Linked DNA regions of Stegostoma tigrinum. Each later gene encodes a partner of the first gene's protein in a complex. Links are inferred from orthologs where the notes say so. Each region holds a gene or a part of one and is shown on either strand. Other genes may lie near its edges.

Region 1 (7,535 bases):
AGTTGAGTCTGTGGTGCCCATAATCTAATTGTGCTCTCCAGAGTTGTAGCATGAGATCTGAGCTGGATATTACATCTTTGGATAGGCTCCTGCCTGTTTTCTAGAGGCAAGCCCAAACACTGGGCAGGTTGAAACTTAATGCTTTTTATACGTAACAAAGCAACATGGGTAAGAGTCAGATTAAATCTTGTGATTTAGCTCAAATTTTCTTCAATTGAGGTAAATGTGACATGACGCTCTTTCCATTTTTGAGGTTGGTCTGACCTCGTTTATATTTTAACTTGTTCTAATCACCTGACATCACAAAATCTGAAACAAAATTAAAATACTGCAGAGGCTGGAAATCTGAAATGGAAACAAAACTCCAGTCTGGGAGGAAAGAACATCAAAGACAATTTTGAAAGACCTCCCAGCTTTTGGATGTAGCAAAGAGGTGTGGTGGCTTTTAACAAACCCAGCAGCTTCTGCTGAAAGCTAAACTAGAGATCCTGGTTCTGTGGGAGGCCCAAGGCCTTGTGCTGTTGACACATGGTTTTGGTGGACTGCTCAGAACTCTGTCTTAAAACCTCTTCCAAAAAAAAACCAGGACAAAATAACCCCTTAAATTCACACCATTATCGCATGCAGTATTTGTGGAGAGACAAGACGGTTAATGCTTTTGGGTCCAATATGACCTCAGTTCTGAAGAGTCAGTAGACTTGGAACGTTAACACTGTTTCTCTAGCCACAGATGCTGCCAGACCCGCTGAGTTTTCCAGCATTTTCTGTTTTTATCACTTGCACCTTGCAGTCTCCCTGTGTTTTTTTTTTAAATTTAAAACTTCCACAGTCAATTGGAAAGACAAGGTATTCAGCAAGCAGTTCACAGCTTTTCCCGTAGGTCAGCAAAACAAAATGACAATTCACTCCCAAGCATATCTTAGCAAGACACATGCTTCATTGATATGACTGAAATGTTTCACAAGCTGAATGGCTGAATAGTGATGGATTTTGTTTTGAAACCAAACTCATTGAGACCTAGCTTCTAATTCTTTTTAGCAAATTGAAAATTCTTCCCTTCTGACATTACTAATCATGTGCAAATATATTGAGAAATGTAATTTATGGAAGGGAAAGGCAGTAAGTTCTCATTTTCTTTGCATTTGAATGGTGGTCAGTGATGTTAACTAAACAGTTATGATGCCAACATGGCTAATTTGGGGAATTTATCCAAGAAACTTGGGACAACTTATTGGAAGCATGAATGCAATATTTAGGAGGAACTGCATGTAATTTACCATCTTTGCAACTGATTGAAATGAAGCAATCACTTCCAAGTGATTCTAGTTTGCTCAGTGAATGTGTGCTCTTTCTGCCACCTAGAGGAGGTGTTTTAAGCCATGTATTTTAGACCATCTCATGGCCAAACAGTATCTCCTGCTCTCAGTAAGTCTCTAACTTCCGCTTGTCTTATGACCTGCACCTTTTGACTTTAGCTTTTCCACTTTTAGCCTGCTGTGTTTCAATATCTCCAATAGAATGCCCTCTTGTGATTTGTTTTGCAATTTCTTCCTTTAAACATGAGAAGGTGTGTTTATATGCTCCTTTTTCTGGTGTTAGCCAGTTGCTGGTCTTTCACTTGATTGCCAACTCTATTTGAATGTTATTCATGGAGGTTACTTTATATGTATATGTCTGCATCTGCTCTAGCCAGCCTATACCTCCCACTTATCAATATGTTTATAACAAATGTTTCATAGTACTCACCAGACCAATAGGAAAAGAAAACTTATTTAAAGAGGAGTATAAATTTCAGCCAGAAAATGACTGAGTTACAGGTGCAGGGATATGGGGAAGAAGCAGAGGCTTAGCAATAAATTGTACAGCACATACAGGCAAAATGGGGCAATGGCCTCCTGTGCTGTATAGAGTCAGAGAATGTACAGCATGGAGATGGACAAGTTGGACTCAACAGTCTATGCCAACAAGGTCTCTTAAATTTAGTCTCATTTGTCCCATATCCCTCTGAACCCTTTTCTATTCATGTAGTTCATCTAGCCATCAAGATTCCTTGTAAATGTTGTCATTGTACCAGCCTCAATCCCTTCTTCTGGCAGCTTATTCCACATGTGACACCCTCTGCATGGAATATCCCTTTTAAATCTCTTCCCCCCTGCACCCCCCCCCCCCCCCTAACCTGTGTCCTCAAGTTTTGGAATCTGCTACCCTGGCTAGTAACCCTATGACTTTATAAACCTAAGGTCAGCACTCAACCTCAGTCACTCTGGGGTAGAAAAAGCCCCCAGCTTATTCAGCCTCCCTGCAGTTACAACCCTGGCAACAGCCTTGTAGATCTTTTCTGAACCCTTTCAAGTTTCACAACATCTGTCCTATAGGATGGAGACCAGAACTCAAGTCATAGATGTGCAGCACAGAAATGGACCCTCATCCATGCTAACCAGATATTCTAAATTAATCTTGTCCCATTTGCCACTATCATGATTTTGTGATAATATTCAAACTGTTTTGTTAATATTGTTTATTCTTGCCATGTGCCTTGTACTCATTTGGGGTTTTTGATTAAACAAAACACAGCTTTTTTTTTAGAATCCCTACTTTATGGAAACAGGCCCTTCAACTCCAGTCCACAGTGACTTTCTGAAGACCATTCCCCCCCCCCCATGACTCCTATGTTTGTCTGTTCTGTCCATGCGCGCCACCCCCCCCCCCCCCCCCCCCCCCCAAACCCGCTCTGCATTTCTCAGGACTGATCTATTTCATCTACACACCCCCAAACACTGAGGCAATTTAGCATGGTAAATCCATTTACCACATATCTTTGGACTGTGGGAGGAACTGGAGTACCCACAGGAAACCCACACAGACACAGGGAGAACGTCACCTGAGGCCAGAACCAAACCTAGGTCCCTGGTGCTGTGGGGCAACAGAACTGGCTACTGTGCTGCCCCTGATGACCAAGCTTCAAGACTTGAAAGAGATGAACCTACTCATGTGCCAAAACTAGATTTTTGAAAAACTTTTCACTGAGTTACTCATGAAAAGCTTTTGTCCAAACTTATTACTATGGAATTAGGGTGACGTGATTAATATGAACCTGCTGACAGAAGGCACCACTGTACGATGGGGAATCATCCTGTCCAAGTGGGCAGGGTAACATGATGGTACCTTTACTTTTCTTAGGATGTGTAAATAACCTTCTCAACAAGGTTAAAAGAAACCACAAGATTTTGCAGTTGACTGTATAGTTCATGCATCAAGGGGAAAAACTCAAGATTGTATCAATTCCTTGAAAGATGATTTGTTGGAATTGCAAAACTGGCAGGACTAATGGGAGAAAGTATTCTGTTCTGACACATTGCTTTATTGTATGTGTTTGTGAAATGAAAGGATCCATCAACAGGTATAAGTTCTGTAATCAAATTCTGCAATGAGTAGATGCGCAAACATATATGAAGGTTCATCTTAAAATCATTCTTCAACTATGGTTCTACATTTAGCATACGCTATCCTAAGCAAACAGGAGTTTTGGATTTCTGAGGACAAATCTTTGTTGTATTGTTAGAATCAGGACATTATACCTTACCCAATAATCCTGCAGTATGGCCAAAAGGTGTGGGATTCTTGTATAACGAGATTCAAGTGAGTGTAATGTAATTCAAAGATATGCTTTGCAAATTAAAGGAAATACACTAGTTTTACCAGTGGATCAAAAATTTTGAATGGTGGTCACTAGCGCAGAGGAGGAAGGAGTAGACTAACCATGATCTACAAAATATGGAATAGATACAGAGAATTGGCAGAACTAAGTAGGTGGTATTGAATAAGACATAAAGATAACAAGGTGTGGAGCTGGATGAACACAGCAGGCCCAGCAGCTTCTTAGGAGCACTTGAAAAATTAACTGTTTATCACTCCACATAGCTAACTCCTCACCCTTGTGTTATTTCGGATTTCCAGTATTCTTGAAGTATTTAACTTTTATTTAAGTATCTCGTGCCATCTGGCAATAACATGTTACAAAGCACAAACTGTCTTCCCGAGGGCACAATGAAAGCGGCCAAAGCAAATGGTCATAGCCCCCAAATTTAGGAGCTAAATAACACATTTTTCAAGACCCAAATTTGGATTATTTCCGTTCAAAGATTTTCACAGCCTGGATGACCAAATCAGCAGGTTGCGCCTAGCTTAGCCAGAGCTATGTACATAAATATTGGTGGATACTGGTCTGTGAACCACTCAAGATGAAGCAGAGGCTAACCCATTCACTCCCACGAATCAGACAAGTGAACCTTCTCGTCAACTTTTTCTGAAGCATTTACATTCTTTCCTATGTACACAGTACTCCAGATGTGGTGTCTCGGCTACAACATGTTGCCTCCTTAGCTACTTCCGGGGGGTTTGTTCTCAGTCACATGATCCCATTACGTTCCCAGTCTCCCGCCCTGATCGTCAGGACCCCTAAACCTTTTGCGTCCACAAATGTGCCTGAGGGCCTTTCAGTACTTGCTGAAATCACTCCGAGCGGGAAACGAGAATGTTTGTTTTGAAACATAAAGATTAAATTCATAAACAGCGATCAGTGTTTGGGGAAGCGTAGAGATGTGTTGGACCCGCGGCTCTTGATGGTGAGGCGGACAGGCGGCAGTTCTGGTTTCCCGGGTAACCGAGGTCGGCAGCTGGAGCCGGTCACCGGGGCCGCAGGAGGCGGAGGGAGGGAGGGCCCGGGAGAGGCGAGAAATTTTCCGGGAGAGGCCGGGGCCCCGCTTTGATGCCTCTTTTCCTGGAGCATCCGCCCTGGGAGTCCAGCAGCCGCTGTAGGTGGGTTCGAGTGAGCGGGGGCTGAGGGAACCCTGTTCTCATTCCCCGACATCCCCCCGCCATCTTAACTGCCACCAACTCTCCCAACATTTATCAGCTTTATGTTTTGCAATGAGACTGGGTAAGACTGAATAACTGATGCAATGTATCTGGGATAATGGGAACTGCAGATCCTGGAGAATCCAAGAAACAAAGTGTGGAGCTGCTGTGTTCATCCAGCTCCACGCTTTGTATCTTGCAATGTGCCAGGATCTTTTTGGAAGACCTGAGGTACTTTCTACCTTTACTGTGTTGACTCCTTGTGACTGAAGGAATTATTTTCCCAGTACTGTGAAGTCAGAAACAATGTGATATGCCATTACTGTAACAAATGACTGTCTTGTTTTGATCTGTGAACTAAATGTATAGTCTCCTATTTAGATCTTTCAGTCATATCAGCTTAATGAATAAGTGATAAAATATTCTACATTCTTTTTCAATCGTTGCAGCTTTATTGTCAAATGTATTTCTATGTGCATGTGTAAATTCAGTTATTTGGGGGGGCAGCACCATCCAGAGTGGCAGATCACTTTTGTAAAAAAAATCGTAAACCTAGAAGTAATCCAGCTTTGATGTGTAATATAAAGTTGAAAACAGATTCTGGTATGTGACTATCTGATGGTCACTCTACTTGTGTTTACGCATCAGTTAAACAGACTGCATCTACATAAAAGTGCTCTTGATGTCATTTGACTTTGTCACATTTGTAACCATTTCTGGAATTGACACTAAAGAGGCTTATTGTATACAGTTATTGTGCTAAATTTCCTTGAGTAACGGAAACTGACTGCATTCACTAATTGGTTTCAAGAATTGCTGACAGTAAAAATGTTTGCAGCTCATATTTCACGGTGAATGTCATATGGTTGGATATGTAACAATATGCTGTGAAATGTTTCCGACAGCTCCGGCACTACTGCTGAAATAACTGTGGGAGGTTGGGTATTCAGAGTTTTCAAAGGCTTCAAATGCATGGTATTTAAGCAAGATAGCAAGTAGTATTCAGAAAGTGCTTTATGCGTGAGTATATTTTTGTATTTGCTCTTATACAGGTTGTTTATTAAGCAGTTTTGATGTCTCTGACTATAAAGCTAATTGGTAATGTAGCTGTAGACTGAACACATGCCATTTCATTGAAGGATAAATAGAAATTTTGTGTACAAATCATCATTGTTGTGGCTGCACAGGACATTGGTTAGCTGCTTTTGGAATACTGTGTTCAGTTCTGGTCTCCCTGCAATAGGAAAGAGGTTCTGAAACTTGAAAGGGTTCAGTAAAGATTTACAAGATGTTACCAGGGTTGGTGGGTCTGAGCTATAGGGAGAGGCTGAATAGGCTGGGGCTATTTTCCCTGGAGCCTTGGATACTGAGGGATGACCTTATAGAAGTTTATAAAATCATGAGGATCATAGATAGGGTGAATACCCAAGGTCTTTTCCCCAGGATAGCAGAGTCCAAAACTAGAGGACATAGCTTTAAGGTGAGAGTGGAAAAATTTAAAAGGCACCAATGGGGCAACTTTTTCAAAATAAAACCGAAAGAACTGCGGATACTGTAAATCAGGAACAAAAACAAAGTTGCTGGAAAAGCTCAGCAGGTCTGGCAGCATCTGTGGAGGAGAAAACAGACTTTGTTTTCTCCTGGTGTTGTGTTAGTTACTTGAAGAGAAATTTAGCGATTCTGCAGACATTGATCTTTTAACAGAATTTGCTTAACATGGAACCAGAGGAAAATGTTGAATTATCTTGGCTTGCAAGCAGGACATAATGCCGAAGTTTATTTAATGCAAATTTTAATGCTTATATTTCCACAGTGTTCAGTGATATTCAAAGGTCAGATTTACTCTTAATTTGAAAGAGACAAAGGAAAACTTTCATTTATATAGAGTCTTTAATGACTTTAGAAGTATTAAAGTGGTTTGCAACCATTTAAATACTTTTGAATTATAGTCACTGTGGTAGTTTCCAAACAACTTTTTTGTCCTGATATTGAGAGACTTTAAATACCTTTTGACATTTCTTTTCTCCAGGTTTAGATTGTGAAAATGCCGAGCTCTGCAAAGCCTGAACCTTTTCTAGTGAAATTTATAAAAATGAAAGGGAACGATTCTGAATATTTCACAAAAGCGTATAAGGTTGGTTTATAAAATACCATTTAATGTTTAAACCTTTCTGACTTTTAACTTTATTCATTTCATACAACTTTTTTCTGATTTGCAGGCCATTAAAGAATTTAAATCTGAGGACTTCCTGCAGATTGTACATGAAGATGAAGTATTTAACTTGAAAGTAAAAGACAGCTCACTTTATATATGTGACCCATTTGAGGGAGATGCTTACAATCACCTGAAAAAGGTATGTAGTTTATTTTTTGCTCTTGTAGAATGTTTTTTTGATTTTGTTATATACTGCTTTTTGTCAAGTGTGGCCTGAACCCAAATAGAAAGCCCACTGCCACATCTGTCTGAACCAATGGTGGTACCACAAGACAGCAAAATTTAGCCCTCAAGCAGAGAACAATTGTGACCTGTACACCAGCTGCTAGAATTTATAATATGCAGCCATAAGATCTCGTGTTCAGTAGGTGAAGGGCTGTATAATTTAATGGATCACATTCAGATTACTAACTACCAGACAAGTTTATTGAGCACTGAACTGGTAAATGAACAGCCCTCAATG
Region 2 (7,162 bases), on another chromosome or scaffold:
TTAAGTACACACAGAGTAAGGGAGGCAAACTCAAGTTCCTCAGAAGTAAAGTATGAGCTCATCAGTGCTCAGACAGTGGCATGCATAGATGGAACACAAGCTTCTATCTTAGATTCGTTGTTTATTACCTTGTTCATGATCACTAACAGTTCACTAAGTGCTAGTCGGAGACGACGAGGGGAATCACTATGTTCAAACTCCAAAGCTAAGCCATGCTGTAGCTGTGATACTAGGATGCTCTCTCCATTTGCTCCACCTAACTTGTGCCTGTTTAAAGAAAGTTAATAAGTTTGAGGACTATTCTTGATAAAATAATGTTGTAATAACTAAAGTGAGAAAGAAAAACATTGTAATTATTCTGCATCTTGCAACGTTTCAAAACATCACAAAATACATGTTTCTGGAACATAGTCAACATCACAAAGTAGGAAAAATGACAAATTGTTCACATCAAGATTCTGCAAACAGCAACAGGATAATGGTCAATCAGTTTTAATAATGCCAAATCCATGATTCATCACTGGGCTGAGGGATTAACATTGGGTATGACACAGGGGCAGCAGTTTTTGTTTTAATTCAGAAAAGTGTCATGTGATCTGATATACCCAACTCAGAAGGGCCACCAGGCCTTCACTTAACTTCAAGTGAAAGTCAGGTTTCTAACAGTGCATCACCTCAGTACTGCACGAAGTGCATCAGCAGTATTATAAAATCAAATTTTTAGAGAAGTGCAAACTGTAACCCATAACCTAACTCAGAAGAATAAGCGCTACCAACATAGAGTTAAAGCCGCATTATTAACCTAATTTCTTGTTTCATGTCAGTTACGGGTTGTAGATTTGCTAACTCAGGTTACTGATGGATCATCAGAAATTCACAATTACTCGTTGTTTACATTAACTTGGGAAGTACTATAAATACCTGAGCTGTTGTTCTTTGGTCGCATCCTGTTCCAGAGCATGAAAATCAACCGACAATAGAGCCACAATAGAGTTGACAGCCTCAACCCCAGACAGAAGACGCAGGATGAGTTTTTTGTCTTGTGCCCAAGCCTCACTTTGATCAGCAGGGGCACAAAGTGCCATTCTCACCAGACACGGCAAGAGTAGCCTTAACTCTGGATCACTCAAAGCTGCCAGTTTTACCACATCAACCTTCTGCATTGCTTCAAATGCAAACGAACTCACAAACTGCAGGCACGCAAACTCCGCCATCTTTGCTAAAGGCACCTAAACAGAAATCATTTGAGACACTGTTCAATTTAGCATAGCAGAGGGATGCAGTTATTTACAGTGTTAAAAATCTACTCCAAGACTTGCCAAATTCAGAAATGTTTCTTGCTGATTGTACATCAAGACCGTACACCACTCCCTCTACCACTAACGCTCAGCAGTGTAGCATGTACTACCTACAAGGTGCACTGCAGAAATTCAGAGATCCTTAGACAGCACCTTCCAAACCCACAAGTACTTCCATCTAGAAGGTCAAGGGCAGCAGATACATGGGAACACCACCACCTGCAAGATCTCTTCCAAGCTGCTTGCCATTCCTTCACTGCTGCTGGGTCAAAATCTTTGAATCCCCTCCCTAAAGACATCAAACTACAGCATGTAGAAGGCAGCTCACCATCAGCTTCTCAAGGGAACTGAGTGAGTTTGACTGGTATTAGAGTGTTGGAAGCAAAGTTAGAGTTAATAAATAGGTGTATGTAAGTGCATGTTAGTTATACGTGCAACTTTTGCATTCTGCCCGGGTGTTGAAATCTAGACATAAATTGTACTTTCTATTCTCTAACAACCTCAACAGTTTAAAATAATGAAAGTTTTTCCTGCTGTTTCTCATACATTCTCCCCCACATGTCCAGTAATCAACAATGTTTTAAAAAAAATCAATGCCAAGCAAAATTTATTGTTGGCCAATGTCTACACAATTTTGTTTGACAACAGGAATATTCAGAAAACATTATTCCATTAGATCAGGGCTTGAAAGCACTAACTCCCAGCATCCTTGGCTTCTAGAATAAGATGTTTCCAGAGTTTCTCATGAAAAGGTGCACTCCTGAACAAAAAAACACACACTTTGGTCTACTGGCTAAAACTCAGTGTTTTCACCCCTGCTGCTCATCAGGGAATGAGATTTCATGGAGAGGGTCAATTAGCTGGACGATGCAGTGTCTTGCCAAGCGCATTAGTTCAATTCCTGCACTGGCTGAGGTTATTATAAAGAACTCTCCTGCTCAAAGTCTCCCCTTGCCTGAGGTGTGTGATGGTTGCCAGGATAAAGTACCACCAATCATCTCTCCCTAATGACAGAGCAACCCTATGGTCCAGTAAGACTATGGCAACTTTATTTTGTCTTCAGTGCCATTTTAGATTACATTCCTATAACTTTGTGCTCACTCATCAGAGGAACATGTTTCTCTGTTATACCAAGTAATTTAATTTTAAATATTAAAATCAGATCTCCTCTGAACAGGGTGACAAAGTGGACAAAGGAGTAGTAATAATGTCACTGGTTTAGAAATAGTGGCCTGTGCTCATGTTCTGGGTACAGAATAAATCTCACCATAGCAGCTGATTGAATGTACATTCAATTAATAAATCTTGAATCAGTAATATTGGCAATTATTGTAAAAAATCTGACTTTTTCCACACAGAGGATGGTGCTTGTATGGAACAAGCTCTCAGAGGAACTGGTGGAGGGAGGTGCTATGACAATAATTAAAAGGCTGGCTGCATGAATTGCAAGGGTTTGGAGGGATATGGGCCAAACACTGTAAAATGGGACTAGATTAGTTTAGGATATCTGGTTGGCATGGAGTTGTACTGAAGGGTCTGCTTCCACACTGTTTGGCTCAAAAACAACATACAAATACTGGACATGCATTATCTACTGGCAATAAAACAAAAAAAAACCCTGCAGATGCTGAAGATCTGAAATAAAAACAGAAATTGCCTCAGAGCTCCTATGAAGGATGGTCACTGGGCTCAAAATGTTAACTTTGCTTTCCCTCTGCAGAGGCTGCCAGACCTGGCAAAATTCTCCAGCAATTTCTGGTTTTGTTTCAATTAATGGCAATATTTATTTTAATAGTCAGTTTCCCCAGATGTACTAAATTCTTGATCTTGGTGTTATTGTGAAAGCGAACTCAAGAACCAACAAGTACAACTAAAATTACAGATAACTTGACAAAAAACTGTGTTTCATAAAGGACTTCCTATATTTTTGGCATATTTGCATTGGTACAAGGCATGTCTCAACTTTTAGACCAAGAAATTTAACTTTGTTATTTAATAATTTGTTATTCTACTTAATCAGGGTGTGCCACAAAATGACCTGAAAATATTAACAGCAACGAATGGCATTCCCGTTCCATAGATTATTTGACTTTAGAATCCAATATTTTTAATTATTTTCACACATGGAAACTTTAATCGTAAATTCTCGCGATGCCTCAGTTAAAATTATTACAAATTACTTTTACTTTGAATAACTTACGTGCTTTTTCAGAAATCAAATACCCTACCTTTTACTGAAAACAAAGTGAAAACCGATTAACTAGGCCTCGCACTAAATTAGACGCCGGGCTCACGTAACACTTCTCGCCGAGAAACACACCCAACTCTGGGGGCTCGCCATTCGTCGTTTTAACTCCCTAACGCTTTCGAACTGGAGTTCTCGGAGGCCTGGGAACATACAGTACTCTTAAACTGATTTATATGCTTTTTTAATAAAAAAATCCAAATTCCTACTGAACTCCTCTGCTGTAACTGTCTACATCAAACCTCCCCAATCCACTGACAACACCGTACTAACCGCCACATGGGATTGTGGGCCGTGCCGGGGTAACATAGCAACTGCCAGTGAGGGACTACCGCCACCGAATCGACTCGCCCATTGGTCGTCGGGCAACCCGTTCTCCCATTGACTTACCTCCCTCACGCTCCTGTTCTCACCCGTTCCTGATTGGCCACAATACCGCCGTCCATTCGGCGGCGACTAACCCGAATTGGAAACAAAAAAACAGCGAGTCTGACAGCATCTGCGGAGATAAATCAGAGTCAATGTTTTGGGCCCGGTAATTCTCCCTTCAGTTCTTTCCGTTTTCTGGTCCGAATTGGCCTCGATCCGGCTCTCTCCCGCCGATTGGCTGCGAGTAGTTCAAGCCGCCCGCTGATTGGCCCATAGCTATGCGTCGGCGTACACCGGGATTCGGGTCCAGCACATGCGTGTTGGTTAATCGTCAGGCGCGAAGTTGTGTTGTCCGATTGCATGGGGTAAAACAAGCTGGAAAACTGTGAGTAATATCTTTGTGGAAAACGAACAAAGACTGAAGCGTTTTGCACCTTCGAATTCATAAATTATGGGTGAAGAACCTCATTAACTGTATCACCTGAAATCTGCAGAAATATTTGTTTCTTGTCACTGAAATCCGTTTGGCTCTCCCCACAACTTGTGTGCTGTAATTTGTGGGCAAACTGGTTGTACTGTTTCATTTATCCAGCTGTTCTGTCACTGTCGATTACATGAGTACCCACTATGAAATTTAAATGGACTAGAATACTCCATTAAAATACTGGGAATGTTGGAGATCGAAGTATGAAAATAAAACTGTGACCTAACGTTTAAGTACAGACCATTCGGCCCAGTGTTCATACTTCAGATAACAAGGTCTAGAGCTGGATGAACACAGCAGGCCAAGCGGCATCAGAGGAGCAGGAATGCTGACGTTCCGGGCCTGGACCCTTCTTCAGATTTCATATTTCACACGAGTCTGCTTCTGTCCCACTTTATCCCTTCTTCTCAGCACACCCTTCAGTTCCTTTTCTTTCTCTCTGCTTACGAAGCTTTCCTTTAAGTGCGACTACAGGTATTTTGTTACGAGTGACAGAAACTCAATTGTGCTGAATTGCACATTCCCAACGCTCAGTAATAGCAACTGTAAAATGTGTTGTGGATAAATTACAAATTTATGGATAGTGTCTAGAGATCTCCAAAGGATATTTTATAAACTGTTACCTCCATTTTGACAGGAAGAATATAAAACAAGCATATCATGTATGTCATAGAGTCCCTATAGTGTGGAAACTGGCTATTTGGCCTAGCAAGTCCATGCTGCCCTCCTGAAGAGCATCCCACCCAGACCCATTCCCCTACCCATGTATTTCCCATGTCTGACCCACTTAACAAAACATCCCTGGATACTGTGGGCAATTTAGCATGGCCAATCCGCCTACCCTGCACATCTTTGGACTGTGGGAAGAAACTCGAGTACCTGGAGGAAACCCACGCAGACACGGGGAGAATGTGAAAACTCCACACAGACAGTCCCCAAGGGTGGAAGCAAACCTGAATCTTTGATGAAGTGAGACATTAGTGCTAATCACTGAGCCACTGTGCCGCCGTGCTGAGTGATTGCAAAACTCTGAGATATAGAGATTTGGGTGCTCCAATTTTTAATCACAAAAGGCTGGTATACAGGTACAACAAGTTATTAGGAAAGCTAGTAGAATGTTATGATTTATCACAAGTGGTATTGAAAACAAAAGTAGAGAAGGTGTACTTCAGTTATACGTGCCACTGGTAAGATTGCATCCAGTGTACTGTACATGGTTTAGGTCATCTTATTTAAGGGGGGATGCAAATGTTCCAAGTAGATTTACCACACCAATAACAGAAATGGGTTGAGGTAACAAAGTGTGGAACTGGATGAACACAGCAGGCCAAGCAGCATCAGAGGAGCAAGTTGCTGCTTGGCCTGCTGTGTTCATCCAGCTCCACGCTTTGTTATCTCGGATTCTCCAGCATCTGCAGTTCCTATTATCCCTCACAGAAATGGGTTGGTTTTCTTTTGTGGAAAGGTTGAACAGGCTAGGCTTCTATCTGCTGGTGTTTAGAACAACTAAACACCTTGATTGAAACTTTATTGAAACATACAGACCCTGAGGAACCTGGACAAGGTAATTATGAAAAGTATGTTTATACTTGTGGGAGAATCTAGAGGCAGCAGTCACTTTCAAAATAAGGAGTCACTCATTTAAGACAAAAAAAAGGAAATTTGTTTCTTAGAGGGTTTGAGTGCCTTTGGAAGGCTGTGGAAGCAGAGCCTTTGAATCATTCACCACGGTGGCACAGTGACTCCGTGGTTAACAATGCGGCCTCTCAACACCAGGGACCCAGGTTTGCTTCCACCGTTGGGTGACTGTCGTGTGGAGTTTGCACGTTCTCCCCATGTCTATGTGGGTTTCCTCCGGGTACTGCATTTAAGGCAGTGGTAGATTGATTCTGTATAAGGGGGCAAAAGGAAATCAGACATGAGTCAGCAACCAGAAAAACTATCATTTTGAATGGAAGAACAGGCTGGGGGGGGGGGGGGGGGCAAGTGTCCTACTCCTCCTAATTCACAGTGTCATGTGTACCATACAGATGAAAGTTTCTCCTGAATTAACAATTTGATTCTGTTCGTAATCAATTGTATTTCAGTCCATCAGCTTTGGACTCGTCACATTGTTATGTACCCTATTAAGCTCCTTCATAATTTTAAAGACTTCTCTATTAATATCTATAAATTCCTCTGTGGCTTTGTGCCATCCGTTCAGTGCAGCTATCTTTTAGTCGTTCACAGGATGAGGGCATTGCTGGCTAGGTCAGCATTTATTGCAGCTGCCAATTGCCTAGAGAGCAGTTAAGCATTGGTCTGGAGTCACATGTAGCCAGACCAGGTGAAGATGGCAGATTTCCTTCCCTAAAAGATATTTTGGTGGGATTCTGACTCGTGTTGCCAGAATACTATTGTGTGATCTTTGATTACAAGTTCAGTGATATTACCACTAAGTCACTGCTTCCTTTATCTCCAGTTATAACCGGGCTGCATTGCTTTGCATCATACTCTCTGTTCTTCAGTATATCACTATCTGTCCATCACTTTTGATGGAATGTTCAATTGCCTCAGCCCCACTGCTTGGAACAGCCTCTGTAACCATGGTCTTTTTAAAACTCTTCAACTCCTTGGTTAGACTTTTGGCCGGTCCCTCCTTCATCCAGAGTTTGGTAGAACTTTGGATAGTTTTGGATCAAGAAAGACTAAAGGAATTGCCCAAAACTCTTAATATATTAAAACACCTTAGGAAAAATATGTAAAATCTAACTAGCAGGTTGACAG
Region 3 (6,989 bases), on another chromosome or scaffold:
AATTGGATCCCCTCCCTCTCATCCTAAACTCCCTGTCTGTGTTATTGCTACTTGTGAGTGGTGCGTGTCAATTGTTTACTTTGTCAAATGGTTGATTTCACAGTGGCTATATTAAAAGAAAACCCACGCTTTTTTTGCAATAGTGCCAATGGATCATTTACATTCACCTGAGAAGGCAGGTATTCTATTGGGAAAGACCAATTTTCCATGGATTATTGAAAGTAAAGTTGCATTAACGCTCAGCATAAATCTGACCCTCATTTATGTATTGTGTACTTGTTTGCTACTGGGTAAAGCTCTAATCTGCTAATCGACAACTGAATGACAACCGACTGAGTAAAAGCTGTGCTTAAAAATACATTCAAAATCCTTTTATAGAGGTGTACCAAAACAAATTCATTTATAAACTGTACTTCTCGATTATATTATCAAATTCAAAATGATGATTGCCCAACCAATTAAAAATGAACTGAACAATAGGATTGAAAGTTTTTGCTTCTTTGCAGCTATGTCAGGCGAACCAAATTTAATAGTGTACAGTAACTCCTCAAATGACTTTAACATGGGGAAGTCTCTGGTCTACGGCTACCATATTGTCGGACTAGAAAACTCTCGCATTCTTACAGTCTGCCTTAAGCATATCAAAAGGATTTACGTATTAATAACGACTGTATCTTGTTTTCCCAGGTAAAGACATAGTTTTATGGACGTCAAGTCTTAAGGTGGGAATTGAACCCACAACTTGTAGCTCAGAGGTAAGGACACTACCAATATGTAACAAAATCTCTTCAAGTCAGTATCATCTAGGAAGTTAAGTGGAAAGAAATGTTTCTTAGAAATAATGTGTTTGAAGTGACTTTTTGCATACCAGAAGGTAATGTACATTCTCATCAGTATGAGAAAGTATAGAGCAATGCTTAAATAGAATGCCAAACCCCTGTTGAGAGATCTTAAAATTTAGAGATTTCCTGCTTATAAAAAAGTGAACAAAACATTCCATTCATCAGCTTATCCGATACTATCCTGTCAAGCAATCAGTACCTGAAAAGTAATGCCTCAGAACATGATTTCATCTCCTTTACCTGCTGCTTATTGATGTGGAGATCTCCATCAATAAGTTGAGCTTTAAATTGCAGGTTGAGTTAATCATCAAAAATACCTGTTTCTGCACGTGTGACATCATTCCCATTAAGCTCTCAGCTATGCCTATGTTACCTTAAGGCATGATTCTTATTTCAGTTTCTCACTACAGAAACTCTAATTCCTCCTAATAATTCCAAATACTACAGATGCTTTAAATAAAAGCAGAAAATAAAGAAACTCAGCAGGCCTGGAAACATCTGTGGAAATGAATGAAATTTAACATTTCAAGTCCAAAGACTCTTTTTCAGAACTCAGAAGTTCTGAGGAATGGTCACCAGACCCGAAATATTAACTGATTTCTTCTTCACAGATGCTGCCAGACCTGCTGAGCTTTTCCAGCAACATGGGGACCGCTTTGCAGAACACCTCCGCTCAGTTCGCAACAAACAACTGCACCTCCCAGTCGCAAACCATTTCCACTCCCCCTCCCATTCTCTTGATGACATGTCCATCATGGGCCTCCTGCACTGCCACAATGATGCCACCCGAAGGTTGCAGGAACAGCAACTCATATTCCGCCTGGGAACCCTGCAGCCATATGGTATCAATGTGGACTTCACCAGTTTCAAAATCTCCCCTTCCCCCACTGCATCCCTAAACCAGCCCAGTTCATCCCCTCCCCCCACTGCACCACACAACCAGCCCAGCTCTTCCCCCCCACCCACTGCATCCCAAAACCAGTCCAACCTGTCTCTGCCTCCCTAACCGGTTCTTCCTCTCACCCATCCCTTCCTCCCACCCCAAGCCGCACCCCCAGCTACCTACTAACCTCATCCCACCTCCTTGACCTGTCCGTCTTCCCTGGACTGACCTATCCCCTCCCTACCTCCCCACCTACACCCTCTCCACCTATCTTCTTTACTCTCCATCTTCGGTCCGCCTCCCCCTCTCTCCCTATTTATTCCAGTTCCCTCCCCCCATCCCCCTCTCTGATGAAGGGTCCAGGCCCGAAACGTCAGCTTTTGTGCTCCTGAGATGCTGCTTGGCCTGCTGTGTTCATCCAGCCTCACATTTTATTATCTTGGAATCTCCAGCATCTGCAGTTCCCATTATCTCTGATGTTTTTTTTCCTCCCTGATTTACAGCATCCTCAGTTCTTTTTCAAAACAGTTTCTCTCTCCACCAATACTGCTAGATCTGTTGAGTCTCTCCAGAATTTTCTGTTTATTTCTATTTTGCTCAAAATCCAACAAGACCTTGCAGCTATTTTTGCCATTACCACGAGTTTCCCATAGTGACACTGACTGCAAATCTTCAACAATGACAGGAGCTTTTGTTGAGACAGCATTAGTTAGAATTCTTAAGCTATGTGATCTCAATAAATAAAACAAGTTATTTCTTGATAGTAACTTGTGCCTGTGGGACCTAAAAAGGTTTAGCTAGAATAGGTCAGATAGCACCAATAAATCAATCAGCTCATTGTCTCCTACAAGGCATAGGAGAGAAGTTTGGTGGATAATAGTCAACTCAGAAAATCATGGGTATGGGTCTGAAGACCTCTTTCCAACCCTGAACATATTAATCATAAACCTATGTACACAAGTTTGTCAGCAGAGTGTAATAAGTGCTAACTTGGGAATTATTTGCAGAAGTGAAAACAGATGTTGCTTTTTCACTTTTTTCCCCCCAGAAGCTGGTGAATGTTCAAAGTTTGCTGATGTTATTCCTGTAAAAGCAGACGGTAGGTTAAACTGACATAGAGACTGATACATTGCATTAGATTAATAGCTTATCTAGCTACACTGATAGATATGTCCCTGGATTACTTACTGAAGACAAATTTGGCACAGAGTTACCAAGGTTAGAGCATTGAATTGGTTCAAAGTTTAGTGTAGAAGAAATACATTTAAATTTGAAGAGAGTTGGCATCAGTGCTGGACAAAAAGGGAGCAGTACTGTGCCTTCTCTTCAGCTACACTGGGCCAACATCTAGCTAAATTATACAACAAGGACTGTACAGTAGGTTTTCAGCTAAAAAGAACAGTTGGGAGAGGTGGGGAAAATAGGGCTTACATGAAGGGAAATTTTGAAAGTTATGGAGGAAGTAAAACAAGGCAATACGACAGAGATGGGAATAATTATCAAACACTGTGATAAGAGGGGACAGGGCATACAGGCATTGTTAGTATACTAACAGATGAGGAAAAGGCAAAAAAAAGGTAAAAAGGCAGAATAAATGGCTAACTGAATGCACACAGCATTCTTAAAATGGACGAATTAAAAACACATCCCAGACGAACTTGCCTTCATTTTGGGTGGCACGGTGGTTCAGTGGTTAACACTGCTGCCTCATAGCGCCAGGTACCCGAGTTCGATTCCACCCTCGGGTGACTGTCTGTGTGGAGTCTGCACATTCTCCCCGTGTCTGCGTGGGTTTCCTCCCGCAGTCCAAAGATGTGCAGGTTAGGTGAATTGGTCATGCTAAATTGCCCGTAATGTCCCGGGGTGTGTAAATTAGGTGGATTAGATATAGGAAATGAAGGGTTGGGGAGTGGATCTGGGTGGGATGCTTCTTCTTCCTTCGAAAGGGCGGTATGGACCTGGTTTCATGTTGTGGGGATTTTTCTATGAGTAGAAACAAATGGAACATGACGGTTGTGATAGAGAGAGGGTTGCCAGTAGCGAAAGGAAGGGGCAGTTAGAGCGCAAGCGCTCTCCTCGAGTTCGCCAGTTGGGTCTCGCGCTGAGGGAGCCGGTTGACTGAGAAGCTCGAGCCGTAGGGGAAAAAGCAAAATCAAACGGCGAATCTGTTGTACGGGAGGGGGGCATACACAAAGAAGGAATTTCACATTTTTAAAAATAAATCAGTTGACCACACATACCTTTTGTAGGAACATCGAGTAGATATTGTTCGCTGTTTATACTTTGCAGTCAAGCTATTTTTTTCGGGAGGAAGTGACGGAGGTGACTGCCCGCTCTCCACCTTCCTGATTGGTCCCGCCGCCACCTGGGTCTTTAGTCGGTTTTGGCGGGGGTTTGGATGGAAGATTTTTGCTCCGTGTTTTACAGCTCGTCCGTTCTTGTTTGTAGAGGTTTATATTATAATACCGTTTGCTCCTTCTGGGAATAATGTTTTGTGAAAAAGCTATCGAGTTAATCCGAGAACTCCAACGAGCTGCGGACGGTCAGTTGCCCGCTTTTAATGTGAGTAACGTAGTATTTTTCCAAATAAGTCTTTAAAATATTAAAAGTGAAACACTAATCTTACTCCGAAGAAATGTTATTGGGCTCGAGACTTTAACCTTGTTTTTGTGTCTAGGGATGCTGCCAGATCTGCCGAGTTTCTCGAGTGCTTTCAGTTGTTTATTTTAATACCCAACATTTTTACTATTGTTTAATCGAGCAATAATGAAGGACGAGACAAATAATGATGTTGAGGAATAAAAACGCGATTGAATTGGTAGTGAGGGAGAAGGTTATAGGTTCGACAGTGGTCAAGTGGACAGAAAAGTGGCGAGCAAAAACGAAGTTGCTGGAAAAGCTCAGCAGATCTGGCAGCATCTGTGAAAAAGAAAACAGAATTAACGCTTCGGGTCCGGAACTGAGGAAGGGTCACCGGACCCGAAACGTTAACTCTGTTTTCTCCTCTACAGATACTGCCAGACCTGCTGAGCTTTTCCAGCAACTCTCTTATTGTTCCTAATTTACACTATCCGCAGTTCTTTTGGTTCTTAGAAAAGTGGCGAGGTTTTTTGTTTGGCGTGGGGAAAATCAATGCAGAGAAATCTGCGGGAATGGAGTTGGGCAAGACCAAACGAGGCAACGGACTGCGCAGTGAATAGTGGGATATTATGAATTGTAGAGGACCAGAGGAGACTTGGCGTGCCTGCCTCGATCCCTGAAAGGAGAAGGACAGGTTTCATAAAGCATATAGTGGTATGTCATTCAGATATTCGATTTCAGATCCATATTGTTTTCATGTCCATGTATATCTACAGTATAGTGCCATGTAGAATCAAGAATCCCTACAGTGTTGAACCAGGCCATTCAGTCCATCAAGTCTACCCCAACCTTCCAAAAAGCATCCCACTCAGATCCACATCATTGCCCTAAGCCCATAACCCTGCATTTCCCATGGCAAATCGACCAAACCTGCACATCTTTGGACTGTGGGAGAAAGCCAGAGCACCCAGAGGAACCTCTCTCAAACACAAGGAGAATGTGCAAACTCCATACAGACAGTTGCCCAAGGCTGGAATCAAACCCAGATCCCTGGTGCTGTGAGGCAATGGTGCTAATTACCGTGCCACCCTGTGATGATAGTGAAGATTTCACAGAAAACTCAACTCTGGTAGGATTTGTACCCACGACCATTGAATAGCACATTTCACTATTGTTTTGGAAGTCCAGCAGGCTCTCCACTGCGCCACAGAGCTGCATGTCTCTCAATCTACATCGAATATATGAATGCCAAGCTTATACTAGGAGGAACCTGCTTTCTTTGCATAGCCATAACTAGGGAACACAGATGTCAAGTAATTGACAGAAGGATTCGAGGGGAGTTGAGTTTTTTCAATTCAGAGTGTAAATTTTTGGAAATAATTGCATACCTACTCGAGTTTCCATTATCTACAAGGGTACTTGTTAAGGGAAAAAATGGTTCTTCCATCTGGGCCATGGACATACTTGGGAAGCTTTCCCAGATACCTGTACCCTTTGTATCTTAGAGCATATCTGAAAGAAGAAAAGTGATTATACCATGAATGATAATGACTAAAGATGCAGCAGAGAAAGAGCTCTGGGGTCATAATATGTCTGAAACACTGCAGCGCAGCAATGAATTAGGTAATTCAAAGCCTGAATTACAAAAGTAAAACAATAAGAGGATGTTCTATTCACAGTTGCCATAGATATTTTCTGGTAAGATCATTCATATAAATGGCCCAAAGATCCTTGTGTTCCTGTTAATGTTGATTAAATATCTAATTGTACTGTATATCAATAGGAAGGATGTGAAATTCAGATCCCTAATGGAACAAAGATGTTAGCTAGTTCCCATCACATCATTTTCCAGTTTTCTTTTTATAGCTTTACTTAGAAATTCTTACAGTCGATTCTTCTAAGTTGTTTTATTCCAGTTTGCTCAATCTCCCTTCCCCTCAGAGTCAAAATAAAGAATAAATCATGTGCTAAGAGTAGAAATATGCTATTCAGCCCGTTGAGTCTGTTCTGTCATTTAATGAAATCGTGGCTGATCTGATAATCCTCCACTCCCCTTTCCTGCCTTTTCCTCATAACTCATGATTCATTTACGAATTAAATATCTATCTCTGCCTTAACGACTCAATGACCCTGCCTCCCCAGCCTTTTGTGATAAACAATTCTGAACATTCTCCACTTCTGAGAGAAGAAATTCCTCCTCATCTGCCCTAAATGGTCAACGTATTATTCTGAAATTATGCCCTTTGACCCTATACTCTCCTATAAGGGGCAACAAGCTCTCCACATCTACTCTGTCAAGTTAGTTAAGAATTTTATATGTTTCAATAAGGTTGTCTCTCATTCTTCTCTATTCTAATGAAAACCAGCCCAATCCTTCCATACCTCTGATGCCAGTATATCCTTCCTTAGATAAGGGGCCCAAAACTGTTCGTAGTATTCCAGCTGTGGTCTGACTATACTTTGTATAGTTGTAGGAAAACCTCTTTACGTTCATTCTCCATTTCATTTGAAATAAAAGCCAACATTTCATTTGCCTTCCCATTACCTACTGAACTTGGATGCTTGTTTTTTTGTGATCCATGGGCAATGACTCCTAAATCCTTATGTTTCTTTTTTTTTTGCAGTCTTTCTACATTTAAATAATATTCAGCTCCTCTATTCTCCCTGCCAAAGCGCATGAATTC

Evidence for each region.
Region 2: the proteins of topbp1 (region 1) and brip1 are in contact, whole or in part, in a crystal structure (PDB 3AL3), measured with the Homo sapiens proteins. The link is inferred for Stegostoma tigrinum from reciprocal best matches to the Homo sapiens genes TOPBP1 and BRIP1. Residues at the interface, in NP_008958.2 of Homo sapiens: Leu1272, Ser1273, Ser1274, Leu1275, Asn1276, Pro1277, Arg1280, Gln1298, His1311, Leu1313, Arg1314, Asn1315, Glu1316, Lys1317, Leu1319, Gln1366, Arg1407, Gly1410, Phe1411, Leu1414, Thr1466, Glu1467, Ile1469, Ala1470; in NP_114432.2 of Homo sapiens: Ser1129, Tyr1131, Phe1132, Thr1133, Pro1134, Glu1135, Leu1136, Tyr1137, Asp1138.
Region 3: the proteins of topbp1 (region 1) and gins1 are in contact, whole or in part, in a cryo-EM structure (PDB 8OK2), measured with the Homo sapiens proteins. The link is inferred for Stegostoma tigrinum from reciprocal best matches to the Homo sapiens genes TOPBP1 and GINS1. Residues at the interface, in NP_008958.2 of Homo sapiens: Leu490, Leu491, Ser492, Gln493, Tyr494, Glu495, Asn496, Leu586, Ser587, Arg588, Thr589, Val590, Val596, Cys601, Glu602, Val603, Ala605, Thr606, Val607, Gly608, Val610, Lys629, Pro636, Val637, Pro638, Val639, Met640, Thr641, Arg726; in NP_066545.3 of Homo sapiens: Asn43, Gln44, Val47, Asn48, Lys51, His66, Arg91, Tyr94, Gly95, Ser96, Asn100, Arg103, Phe104, Arg119, Ala122, Met125, Glu132, Gly133, Leu134, Asp135, Thr137, Gln138, Asp139.

Annotation. Positions count from the first base shown.
Region 1 is NC_081355.1:12,951,175-12,958,709, forward strand, and holds the start of topbp1 (DNA topoisomerase 2-binding protein 1), read left to right. Parts: upstream 1-4,479; 5' UTR 4,480-4,625; intron 4,626-4,665; exon of another isoform or gene 4,666-4,818; intron 4,819-4,824; exon of another isoform or gene 4,825-4,939; intron 4,940-6,886; 5' UTR 6,887-6,901; coding exon 6,902-6,991; intron 6,992-7,076; coding exon 7,077-7,211; intron 7,212-7,535. UniProt on the Homo sapiens protein: Scaffold protein that acts as a key protein-protein adapter in DNA replication and DNA repair. Composed of multiple BRCT domains, which specifically recognize and bind phosphorylated proteins, bringing proteins together into functional combinations.
Region 2 is NC_081380.1:43,259,629-43,266,790, forward strand, and holds the start of brip1 (Fanconi anemia group J protein), read left to right. Parts: upstream 1-4,082; 5' UTR 4,083-4,297; intron 4,298-7,162. Other genes in the region: ints2 (integrator complex subunit 2), read right to left, coding at 129-267, 922-1,229, 3,817-3,852. UniProt on the Homo sapiens protein: DNA-dependent ATPase and 5'-3' DNA helicase required for the maintenance of chromosomal stability. Acts late in the Fanconi anemia pathway, after FANCD2 ubiquitination.
Region 3 is NC_081362.1:20,095,731-20,102,719, forward strand, and holds the start of gins1 (DNA replication complex GINS protein PSF1), read left to right. Parts: upstream 1-3,884; 5' UTR 3,885-4,212; coding exon 4,213-4,287; intron 4,288-6,989. UniProt on the Homo sapiens protein: Required for correct functioning of the GINS complex, a complex that plays an essential role in the initiation of DNA replication, and progression of DNA replication forks.